3 linked regions of the Macaca mulatta genome follow. The protein of the gene in region 2 interacts with the protein of the main gene of each other region in a biochemical or structural test. Links are inferred from orthologs where the notes say so. Each region holds a gene or a part of one and is shown on either strand. Other genes may lie near its edges.

Evidence for each region.
Region 1: the proteins of CASP8 (region 2) and DEDD form a complex in vitro, tested with the Homo sapiens proteins (2 studies listed by BioGRID). The link is inferred for Macaca mulatta from reciprocal best matches to the Homo sapiens genes CASP8 and DEDD.
Region 3: of the proteins of CASP8 (region 2) and BCAP31, one has a biochemical effect on the other in vitro, tested with the Homo sapiens proteins (2 studies listed by BioGRID, with this or other methods). The link is inferred for Macaca mulatta from reciprocal best matches to the Homo sapiens genes CASP8 and BCAP31.

What each region holds. Positions count from the first base shown.
Region 1 is NC_133406.1:105,757,058-105,760,703, reverse strand, and holds part of DEDD (death effector domain-containing protein), read right to left. Parts: intron 2,624-3,646; exon of another isoform or gene 2,044-2,623; 5' UTR 1,980-2,043; coding exon 1,655-1,979; intron 1,464-1,654; coding exon 1,356-1,463; intron 1,043-1,355; coding exon 896-1,042; intron 339-895; coding exon 1-338. UniProt on the Homo sapiens protein: A scaffold protein that directs CASP3 to certain substrates and facilitates their ordered degradation during apoptosis. May also play a role in mediating CASP3 cleavage of KRT18. Regulates degradation of intermediate filaments during apoptosis.
Region 2 is NC_133417.1:106,382,730-106,386,375, forward strand, and holds part of CASP8 (caspase-8), read left to right. Parts: intron 1-3,230; coding exon 3,231-3,336; intron 3,337-3,646. UniProt on the Homo sapiens protein: Thiol protease that plays a key role in programmed cell death by acting as a molecular switch for apoptosis, necroptosis and pyroptosis, and is required to prevent tissue damage during embryonic development and adulthood.
Region 3 is NC_133426.1:159,960,413-159,964,721, reverse strand, and holds the start of BCAP31 (B-cell receptor-associated protein 31), read left to right. Parts: upstream 1-1,364; 5' UTR 1,365-1,379; coding exon 1,380-1,533; intron 1,534-1,752; coding exon 1,753-1,891; intron 1,892-4,244; coding exon 4,245-4,309. UniProt on the Homo sapiens protein: Functions as a chaperone protein. Is one of the most abundant endoplasmic reticulum (ER) proteins.

The sequences.
Region 1 (3,646 bases), on a different chromosome or scaffold from region 2:
CTGTCGGCCCAGCTCATAGTCCTCCTCGTCTACATTTACCAGCAGCTTGATGGCTTCATGGCCCACAGCTTGCTTGAGGGAGTCTGTGATGAAGACACCTTTAAGTGCCTCTAATAAAGAGCCATTGATGTAGTCGCGCCAGAATGCATCGAGGTAGGTGAGCTCAGAGAACTTGATGTCACAGATGATGGAGCCCAGGTCCCGGGACTTGAGGATGGTGTTAGCCTGGTTAAAGCGCTCAAACTGGCGCTCAAGTGGGTCCTGCTTGTTAGAGAAGACGTTGCCCTGCAGAGCAGTCTCATGCTGGCAGTACTCAGCCCGAACCCGCAGTCTGATGTCTGTTGGAAACAGAAGATAGAGAGCAGAAGAGGTTACAGTGAGGGATGAGTTTACAACCCAAGCTTGAAAACTGAAAAGCACAGCAGAATAAAAAAGTAGGGAATATCACCTGACAGCTTCTCTACCTCTTCCCCAGGACTATTTCTATGTATCTCTGAAACGCTTGCCTGAATGCAGGAGGTTCCCTTAAACTGGACATGCCCAGGTCAGCACTGTTCCCATTACCCACAGGTAGCAACTTGCTTATAGGAGATTGTTTCCTAATTACCAGGCACAGAAGTTCATTTTAATACTCTATCTTGACTTGGTTCATCCTACAATAAGGATGTCATAACAACATCCCTGTGATGTAGTATTAACTAAGAAGAGTTGAAATGCACCCTGCCACAGTCACAAAGAGCAGTTCTTCCACCAGACACCAAACCATTCAGCCTCACTTTGCAATGGCAATCAAAGTGAATCTCACACTGAATAGCATAAACTGCCTAGTGTCCCAGCAGTTCTTTATATTCTGCTTCAAGTCTGCTCCACCTCTGGAACCCTTGAACTTCCTCACCACATGTCTGCTTTTCCTTGGGATCTGGTGTCACTGACTTCCGGCGTTTTCGCTGGCTCCCAAGTGTGGCTCTCCCTCGGGCTGGCCGCTTGCTACACATCTGAGGACCCGAAGTGGGGCAGCACACCACAGGATAGTGGGGAGGCACTGACCAGAAAGTAAAAGGGAAGAAAACACAGTAGGGTAAAGGCAGAAATTCAAACACTTCTCTTGGAATGAGGAAGGAATCATTTAGACTTAGCACTAAAAGCAGTGGAAATAATGTGACTTGAAAAGACATAATGTGAGAGCAAATACAGGACCTAGGAGAAACGTCAACACCTCACCTGATTTTTTTTTTTTATGGGACAAGATGTGGGGCACAGCATCCTTTCATTTAAGCTGGCAAAGCCCAGAATGTGATGGGATCAGTGTCCTTTTACTTGATGATGGAAAGTAGGGGGAGTTAATGTCTTCTCACCTGTTTTAGGGGGCTGGGGAGGCCTTGGTTCTGGATCACTGAGGGCTCTGGGGGTCACATAGCGAATTGATGTCTCCTCCAGATATTTGTCTACAAGATCAGGGCACACTGTAGGAGGAGAAGTAATCATTCAGGAAAATATATACCCTTCCCTTCTGTCAGTCCAAACCCCCAATGGGCCTCACAACTTACTCTAAGTACTCCCCAGGGTCAATGTGTCTTCCCCTTTGGATGCCTATGCTGCTCCTTCCTGGCCTCCCACAACTCTTCCCTGATTCTAGCCCCTAATACATCCTCACCAGCCCGTCTTCTCTTGAGGGTGACATAGGGCAGCAGGTCGTGGCGAGTGATGATGCGCAGCAGCTGCAGCACCTGGCGAAAGTTACTTTCATCACAGCGGCCCTGGCGCTCCAGTGCCAATAAGAAGTCACGTCCATTTCGGATGAGTCCACGCTCGTGGTCATCAATGACATCAACAAAGAGGAAAGAAAGCACGCGCACATCTCTGTGTGTCAGATGAGTGCCCACGATGTCAAACATGCGGTGCAGGCTGTACAGCCCATGTTCCTGCTCACCATGCTCTTCTGGCCACACCTGGCTTGCCCGCCGCTTTAGGCCCGCCATGCTGGGGGCTCAGGTACGCAATGCTTTCCAGAATCCCTGCTCAGCAGCTGCAATCCACACTGTACTGAAAGGGCAGGGAAAGAACCGATGAGATACTCAAGGGCAGGAACTAGTCTTAGGCATTCCCATATTCCCAGTCGCTAATAATGCCTGGCACAGTATAGTGCTTTATACATGTTTATCACATTTTTTAAAGTGTTTGTTTACAAATAAACACTGGCTGGGCACAGGGGCTCACACCTGTAATCCCAGCATTTTGGGAGGCCAAGGCAGGAGGATCACTTGAGCCCAAATATTCAAGACCAGCCTGGGCAACATATGGAGACCCCTGTTTCTACAAAAAAGAAAAAATTAGCTGGGCTTGGTGGTACACGCCTGTAGTCCCAGCTGCACAGGAGGCTGAAGTGGGAGGAAGGCTTGAGGCCAGGAGTTCAAGATCAGCCTGGGCAACATATGGAGACCCCAGTTCCTACAAAAAAGAAAAAATTAGCTGGGCTTGGTGGTACACGCCTGTAGTCCCAGCTACTCAGGAGGCTGAGGCAGGAGGATCACTTGAGGCCGGGAGTTCAAGGCTGCAGTGAGCTATAATCCTGCACTGTAGCCTGGGTGACAGAGTGAGACCCCCATCTCGAAAAAAAAGAAAAGAACTAGTTTAAATTCTGACTCTTCTCACTGAAAAGCTGTGTAGCTATGTGACCGTAAGCAAGTCACTTAACTCCAAATTCTCAGTGCTGTCATCTGTAAACAGGGATGAATGAATCTATACCTCAGAGTTGTTAAGAATCCAATGAGAAAATACATGCAGAATCACTTGGTAACCCTTACATAAATGGTTGTGAAACAGATTTCAAAGATACAAGCATCCTTGGCCTTTGCAGCCCAGAATCATCCCTCCACATTTTTCCTACAGTCCAACCACATCCAGAAACGATAACTGCTCAGAAAGTTTATCAATATTTACCAAAACTCATGGATTTAAAATAACATTTATTACGTTTCTACAATAAGCATTCTTGTAATTCTGTGCCATTTGTACTCCCTTGATCGTCACACTATTTGGCAATGCCAACTTTTTTTTTTTTTTTTTGAGATGCAGTCTCACTGTGTCACCCAGGCTGGAGTGCAGTGGCACAATCTCGGCTCACTGCAACCTCTGCCTCCCGGGTTCAAGCGATTCTCGTGCCTCAGCCTCCCAAATAGCTGGGATTACAGGCAAGCGTCACCATGTCTTGCGAATTTTTGTATTTTTAGTAGACACGGGGTTTTACCATGATGGCCAGGCTGGTCTTGAACTCCTGACCTCAGGTCATCCGCCCGCCTTGGCCTCCCAAAGTGCTGGGATTACAGGCGTGAGCCACTGTACCTGGCCTTGGCAATACCAACTTCTAAGCTTCCCTCATGGATGTCATTTACTAATCCCCTATCAATGACCAATCACAGCCCCACATTCATTATATAGTTTGGCACTTGATTCACAAAGTTCCTCCATCATTATGGGCTATGGTTAATAACAATGACACAGTCATTAATCAATTCTCAAATTCAACAACTTTCACTCCACTCAAGTCACTCATACTTACTGCTCCACCAGACAGCACCATCCAATACTGTCCACTCTCTGGTCACAATCTCCAATCACACAATCAATTCTAAATTCCTGTTAATGC
Region 2 (3,646 bases):
CAGGCAAGGTGGCTCATGCCTGTAATCCCAGCACTTTGGGAGGCTGAGGCGGGTGGATAACCTGAGGTCAGGAGTTCAAGACTAGCCTGGCCAACATGGTGAAACCCTATCTCTACTAAAAATACAAAAATTAGTTGGGTGTGGTGGCTCACGCCTGTAATCCCAGCTACTTGGGGGGCTGAGGCAGGAGAATCACTTGAATCCAGGAGGCAGAGGTTGCAGTGAGCTGAGATCGTGCCATTGCACTCCAGCCTGGGCAACAAGAGTGAAACTCTGTCTCAAAAAAAACAAAACAAAGCAAAAAAACAAAAAAAAGAGATATTCTGGGTGTGTAAGTTTCCTAGGGCTGCGGTAGCAAAGTAACACAAACTAGCACGTTTAAAACAGTTTTTAAAATTTATTCTCATAGTTCTGGAGGCCTAAGTCAGAAATCAAGATGTCAACAGGGTTGGTTCCTTTTAAGAGGCTCCAAGGAAGAATCTGTTTCACACCTTTCCCTGCTTCTGGTGGGTGCAGGAATCCTCGGTGCTCCCTGTTTGTACATGCAGCACAGCAGTCTCTGCCTATGTTCCCTTCTCTGTGTCTAAATCTCCTTCTTATAAGGAGACAGTCACTGGATTAGGAATTAGGGCCCACCCTAATCCAATGTGGCCTTATCTTTTTGTACGTGTGTGAGAGACAGTGTCTCACTACATCACCCAAGCTGGAGTGCAGTGGCACGATCTTGGCTCACTGCAACCTCTGCCTCCTGGGTTCAAGCAATCTTCCCACCTCAGCCTCCCAAGTAGCTGAGACTACAGGCACCCACCACCATGTCTGGCTGATTTTTGTATTTTTTGTAGAGATGGGGTTTCGAAATGTTGCCCAGGCTAGTCTTGAACTCCTGGGCTTATGCGATCTGCCCACCTTGGCCTCCCAAGTTCTGGGATTACAGGCGTGAGCAACTGCGCCTGGCCAGCGTGACCTCATCTTAATGAAATTTTATCTGCAAATGTCCTGTGTCCAAATAAGGTCACATTCTCATATTCCAGTTAGACATGAATTTTGAGGAAGAAGGGAGAACACTATTCAACCAGTACACTAGATAGCTCTGGTTTACTAGAATTGTGAAGTCTTTATAAGGAACTTATTCATTAAGGCACCAGTTAGTCCTAAAAACCCACAGCCCCAGAACTAGGAAAGCCAAGGGGGTCTCATCCTGTGCCCAACATCTTGGTCCTTTGAAGGTTCCACTTCTGCCGCATGAGCTGGGCTGAAGCAAACACCCAGTGCCAGACATAGTCTGTACCTTTCTGGTGGAGGATTGATCATCTACTAATAAGGCAGGATCTGTCTGTTAAAATCTTTCATGTATTGGCTTACTGAAATACAATCCTGACTTACTGCTTGTTCATTATCATTGAATACTAGCCAGGAGCTAATAAATATGCTAGGGTGGCCACTTACCATTATAAGAAAACACTAGACATTTTATTTTCCAGTTATAATTGCTACCTATAAAATAAGTATCTTATAAACTATTCAGGTTCATTACTAAACAATGATGGTACAAGAAAGCCTGTAGGCTTCAATAATGAGGAAAGCAAAAGGGTAAATACCTTGTAATAAAGGCGAAAGAGTCAGAATAGCTTTTTGGATTAGATCCAATTTTGGCCAAACCGAAAGCTTTAGATAAACACTTTTAGGGTAGAGAGTCCACGAGAAGGAGGATAAGGTAGATGGTAATACTGAGTAATTTCTGTTTCTATGCCATTTTTATTTTGAGAATTTTAATTTTCTAATTAAATTTTCAAGTCAACATGTTTTGTATTAAAATTATTTTCCTTTACACCATAGTGTTGAAAGGTTTGCTGACTTCTAAAACATTCCTGTGTTCACCTATTTGGCAAGCATATTCCAAGAGCCTAAATGTCCCAGCCTAAATGTGCCTATCACATACATGTGATAGGCATAGATTAGGAAATAGTAATACCTATCACTCATTGAACACTTAGTGTGTTGCCAAAGATTGGTTTAAGTGCTTCACATAAACTTATTTGTGTAACCCTCGACACCCTCCTATGATGTGGTTACGGATAATTATCTTCAGTCTATGGGCGAGGAAAAAATGTGTAACATGTTTGAAGTTAATGCTGCTCAAAGATGGTGGAATTAAGGCTCCAACACCAATAGCCGGGGTCCTCTGCATGCAAACATTGCACCTCATAACCCTCTGGGTTTATGAAAATAAAAAGGGTACAGACCTGGCCATTAGGGGACTTGAACAGTTTCTAAACAGACAATTATTTTTTGTTTTTATTTTTAGTGTGATGGCATGATCACAGCTCACTGCAGCCTCAACCTCCTGGGCTCAAATGATCCTCTCACCTCAGCCTCTGGAGTAGCTGGGACCACAGGTGCATGCCACCACACCCGGCTAATTTTTAAATATTTTTGGTAGAGAGGGGGTCTTGCTATGTTGCCCAGGCTGGTCTCAAACCCCTGGGCTCAAGTGATCCTCTTCCTGCCTTGGCCTCCTAATGCGCTGGAATTAGAGGCGTGAACCACTGCACCAGGCCAACAGACAATTATGTGTGTTATCCTTTTGGGGTTCCTAAGTCGTAGTGGAGTGAATGCAGCTTTGTGGATGCCCAGGCAATGCTTGAGCTGATTGTTCGTGGATGGGCGTCTGCAGATAGACAAGGGACGGGGTGTAGGGGCACGGCGGAAAGGGGTGAGGGCAGGGCAGCTGGGTGTGTTTGGGGCTTCAGGTCCTTTAGTGTTTGCAGTCTGGTCTGTGATGGCGATGTATTCAGAGACTTTGTATTCCAGAACCAAATGCTTGGCCTTCTTACTGAAGATAATGACTGGGAGAATACTGACCGGTTTTGATTAGGAAAGTCATGAGCCGCTGTGCATTTTGAAAAGCATAATTTCCAAAAGGCAAAGCTTTTTGCTATTGCAACAAAATCTTGATTTTATAGAAAAAAAAAAAAGCAAGATTTACTTAACTGAAATAAACTGAAAGAAAAGTTGATAGAACTTTAAATTGTTAAGGGTGGGAAAGTCAGGGAAGAGCCAGCAGACTTCTGTGTCACAACCTCTTTCCAAGGACTCAACTCATAAACCACGCCGTTAACTGGCTTCACGTTGAAGGGAGGCCTTTGGAATCAAGCCCACTGTGATTCCATATATCAAATGGGAAATTATTTGGGAAAAGGTTTCTAAAGTGTCTCCATTTCCCACCACAGGGTCATGCTCTATCAGATTTCAGAAGAGGTGGGCAGATCAGAATTGAGGTCTTTTAAGTTTCTTCTGCAAGAGGAGATCTCCAAATGCAAACTGGATGATGACATGGTAAGACCTGGTATCTTACTGAGATTTAGTCCTGAGACTTGGTTAGCCAGGGGGCATTTCTGAGACCAAAGAGAGGGGGTATTTTGGTAAAAGCAACCTGGATTCTCACTTTTTGACCAGAAGAAGAAAGTTGTCAGCACGAGTGTTACAGATGTGATTCCTCTATACTGAAGTGCTGCGCATGTTAATTACCGGGAGCAAGGCGGAGTCAGGGGCCGGGAGAAGGAGGCTGGTTGTGCAGATGCAGCCCAGCCTGAGACCCGGCAGAGCTGGGAAAGACAGCGGTGAGTCTGAGGCATTTCCTCCACTT
Region 3 (4,309 bases), on a different chromosome or scaffold from region 2:
TTGGCTCTCCTGTCCTGTCAGTGCCCTGGCTCCTGAGGTCAGGGCCTGGAAGGATTTCGGGCAGAGGGGGCGTCTCTTCCTCTCCACCTTCTTCTCCTCCTCCTCCTCCCCTGGTGGCGCCCCTCCCCGGGGCACCAGGCGCGTCCGTCCGCTCCGCAGCCTGGCTGAAGCGACAGTGACTCCGCCACCGGCCCAGAATCCCCACCCACCCCTCCCCAGGGGCGAGTCGGGGGAAGGGGAGGAGGCGGAGGAGGGGCGAAGGGCGGAGTCCGGGCGCGGGAGCCCCACCCTGTTCTCGCCCCTCGGCGAGGCCCCTCCCCCACCAACCCCGTTCTCGCCCCTCGGCAGGGCCTCTCCGCACCACAGAGACGTGGGACGGCCTCGCGGACTAGATAAGCGGCCCTCGTAGGCCCGCCAAAGCCCCGCCCCGCCCGCGTGCTCGCTCCACCCCTCCCCGCGCGCCCGGAGCCCCAGGCGCCGCTTCCTCTCGCGCTCGGGGCGTCGGCCCTCCGCTCGGGGGCGGGGCGGGAAGCGGCGGTGGGCGGAGCCTCCGGGGCCTCGCGAGGGCTAGTGGGCGGTGCCCGGCGGGCGCTTCCGGTTTCCGGCCGCGGGATGAGGGGCGGGGCCGGGGCTGCTGTGGGAGAGTTCGGCTGCTGCGGCGGGGCCTGCACGCTGACTGTGGGAAACTCGGTGAGCGGGCTCCGCGCGCCAGGCTGAGCTCCGGGACCGCCGAGGCTCCCTGGCCCCTTGACGAGGGAGAGAGGCGAGCGGCGCGGGGAGGCCCGGGGGCCGGGGAATCTCGGGGCCCGCAGCCTACCTGGGTGTGAGGGGCAGGGGAGAGGGGAAAACGGGCGGTGCCTCTAGAAGCTGGGCTCGGGGGCGGGGTGGGGGGCGGTGAAGCCCCACCTGGAGGAGCGGCCTTGCTGGGCCTCGGGGACGGTGTGCCAGGCCGGGGTCATGTCGGCGGGGCCCACGGTGCGCGCAGTCGGCTCTCGCTCTGGGTGGGCGCTATGGCCCTCGAGGGCTACTGGAAGGACCCCTGGCTTTGAGGAGACTGCGTCTAGAACTTTCCCCGTATGGGGCCTTGAGGTGCTTGGTCTAGACCTGCTTTTGCGCTTGGTCCCGAATTCTGCTCTCTAGGAGTCGCTCTTGCGGGCCTCCAGCCCACCGGAGGCGAAGCGGCCCCGGGCGGAAGGCCGCTTGAGCCTCGAGGGAGGTGCCGGTTTCTCTCCGCGGGCGCCGTGGGGACGGTGGGAGGCGGGGGCGTCGGCAGCGCTTGGACTAGATGCGGCCTTGGGCCCGCCTGGTAGCGGGGATTTGGGCCAACAGAGCGCCCGCCTCTGCGGCTGAGTTCTGCCTGGCGGGGAAGGGAGCGTCCAATGGGTGCCGAGGCGTCCTCCTCTTGGCGCTCTGGCACTGCTCTTCCCGAAGAACGCCTTTCAGTTAAATGGGCGTCGGAAATCTCGGGCTCCCTGGGACAGGGATCGTCGGGAGAGGCCGCTCTGGACGTGTTGACACACGTGCTGGAGGGGGGCGGGTAACTGACCAGCGAACGGAAGTTTGTGGGGCCTGTGAACGCTGCTGGCCAAGCGGCCTTGCCTAGTGGAGCCCTGCTTCCGCCAGCGCGTCAGAGACTGTGAAGCAAAGTGCAGGGGGTCGAGTGGAGAGTGGCGGCCCCAGCCTCGCAGGGTAACTGAACTGGATGTTCTTGGCTGCCCAGCGCTTACAAATCCTGTTCCTTCTGTGCCCTGCCAGGAAACAAGCTCACATCTCCCTGTGGGAAACCTTCTAGCAGCAGGATGAGTCTGCAGTGGACTGCAGTTGCCACCTTCCTCTATGCGGAGGTCTTTGTTGTGTTGCTTCTCTGCATTCCCTTCATTTCTCCTAAAAGGTATGGCTTGTGGAGCAAGCAGGCGAGTTAGGCGGGAGGGTCCCTGTGCCCTAGCCCTGGGACTGGTGTGTGCAGCTGGTGGACCCTGGAATTGGAACCCGATGGAACAGGTAGAACCTGTCAGGGGTGGGGGTGGCAGGGGTTGTGTTTGTTATTGCCAACCCTCCCCAGGGTTCTGCTTCGTCATGACTTGCTCAGTTCCTTTTCCTGTGTCCCCTGCCTTCTGGTCTTCAGAATGCCCGCGAGAGGCAGGAAGATCCATGTTACAGTTCTGGAAATGATGCCCTCCCGCCTACTCTTGGCCCCCGGGGTCTTGGGATGGCAGCGTGGGATTCGGAAGACTTGCACCACTGGGTCATGTTGTTGCTGATTTGGTGACTCTTGTCCTAACTAGTCTCACTGGCATTGCGCAGTGGCTGCATGAACATTACTCAGCCTGTGGAGGATGAAGCCATATTCCCTTTTAATGAACAGAGAACCTGTTAAAAGTGAATTGGAAGTTAATTGTTAATTATGTATAATACCTGAACACGTCCCTATTTAAATTCACATATTACAAATAAGGCCAAATCTCCACAGGTATTTTTAAAAACTGTTTTTTCATGAAAAATTATCCCTGATGTGATACCACAGAAAGTATGCAGCGCTGCCTGAGGAGGATTCTTGCAGAAAACCAAACCTTCGTACAGTTGACAAGACATGCAGAGATAGAGGACCCCGGGGAGCTTTAATCTGGGAAGCTTTAGAGGACAGACAATCTGATTTCTACACAAAGCAAATTGGAAAAGCAAATGAAAGAGGGGAGGGAAGGGGGAGCTTCCATAAGAAGAGGGATTTAAGACATTTATCTACCAAATGCCAAATCGGTACCTTGCTGGGTCCAGATTCAAATAAATACTGTTGCCTACCGTGATTGGCATTTTCATCTCTAGCCCTGATGATGAGGGCTTCTTGTTGGTTTGAACAATATGTAAACACTTCTGAAGTCTCTTCTTAGAGCTGCATCCCAAAGCATTTGTGGAGGGAAATGATGTGAGGTCTAGGGTCCATCTCATCATAACCCAGGGTGGGGGGGGATATAGGCAAACCAAGGTTTATCATGTGGAAAGACAGTTTAAAGAAATAACATGTGTATGGGGCAGACATTTTGAATATTACAAAGGGGAGAACAATGAAAAGTAAGTTTCCCTTTTCAGAGACTATCAGTGTGTTTTCTTTTTGTTGCTGTGGTTTGTTTTTTTTTTTTTTTTTTAAATTTTGAGACAGTCTTGCTCTGTCACCCAGGCTGGAGTGCAGTGGTGTGGTCTCGGCTGACAGCAACCTCCACCTACTGGGTTCAAGTGATTCTCCTGCCTCAGCCTCCTGAGTAGCTGGGACTACAGGCGCCTGCCACCATGCGCAGCTAATTTTTTTTATATGTGTGTGTGTGTGTGTGTATATATATATATATATATATATATTTTTTTTTTGTAGAGATGGGGTTTCCAGACGTGAGCCACTGTTCCCAGCCAACTACCCGTGTTTAAGATTAGTTTTCCAGGCCAGGCGCGGTGGCTCACGCCTGTAATCCCAGCACTTTGGGAGGCTGAGGCAGGCGGATCACGAGGTCAGGAGATCGAGACCATTGTGGCTAACACGGTGAAACCCCGTCTCTAATAAAAAATACAAAAAATTAGCCGGGCGTGGTGGCGGGCGCCTGTAGTCCCAGCTACTCGGGAGGCTGAGGCAGGAGAATGGCGTGAACCCGGGAGGCGGAGCTTGCAGTGAGCCGAGATCATGCCACTGCACTCTAGCCTGGGTGACAGAGCGAGACTCTCTCAAAATAAAAAAAAAGATTAGTTTTCTAGACATTTCGATCTCTACGTGGACCAGCACCTTTTTTTTTTTGAGACAGGGTCTCGCTCTGTCGCCCAGACTTGAGTGCAGTGGCGCGATCTCAGCTCACTGCAACTTCTGCTTCCCAGGTTCAAGTGATTCTCCTGTTTCAGCCTCCTGAGTAGCTGGGATTACAGGCACCCACCACCATGCCTGGCTAATTTTTATGCTTTATTTGTAGAGACGGGGTTTTCGCCATGTTGGCCAGGTTGGTCTTGCACTCCTGACCTCAAGTGATCCACCCACCTTGGTCTCCCAAAGTGCTGTGATTACAGGTGTGAGCCACTGCACCTGGCCTTTTTTCCAACACTCTTGAATGGATATCAAATTAGAGAATTGCAAGCCACTGAGGCTGACTTTGTGTGGGCTATTCGGCCATTGGAGAAGAGTGCAAAGCTGGATTTCCATTTTGCTCAGGGCCCTAGAGCCCGTGTGTGTGCTTTCTCTTCAGCTCCCGTCCTTTTTGTCGTCTTCACAGATGGCAGAAGATTTTCAAGTCCCGGCTGGTGGAGTTGGTAGTGTCCTATGGCAACACCTTCTTTG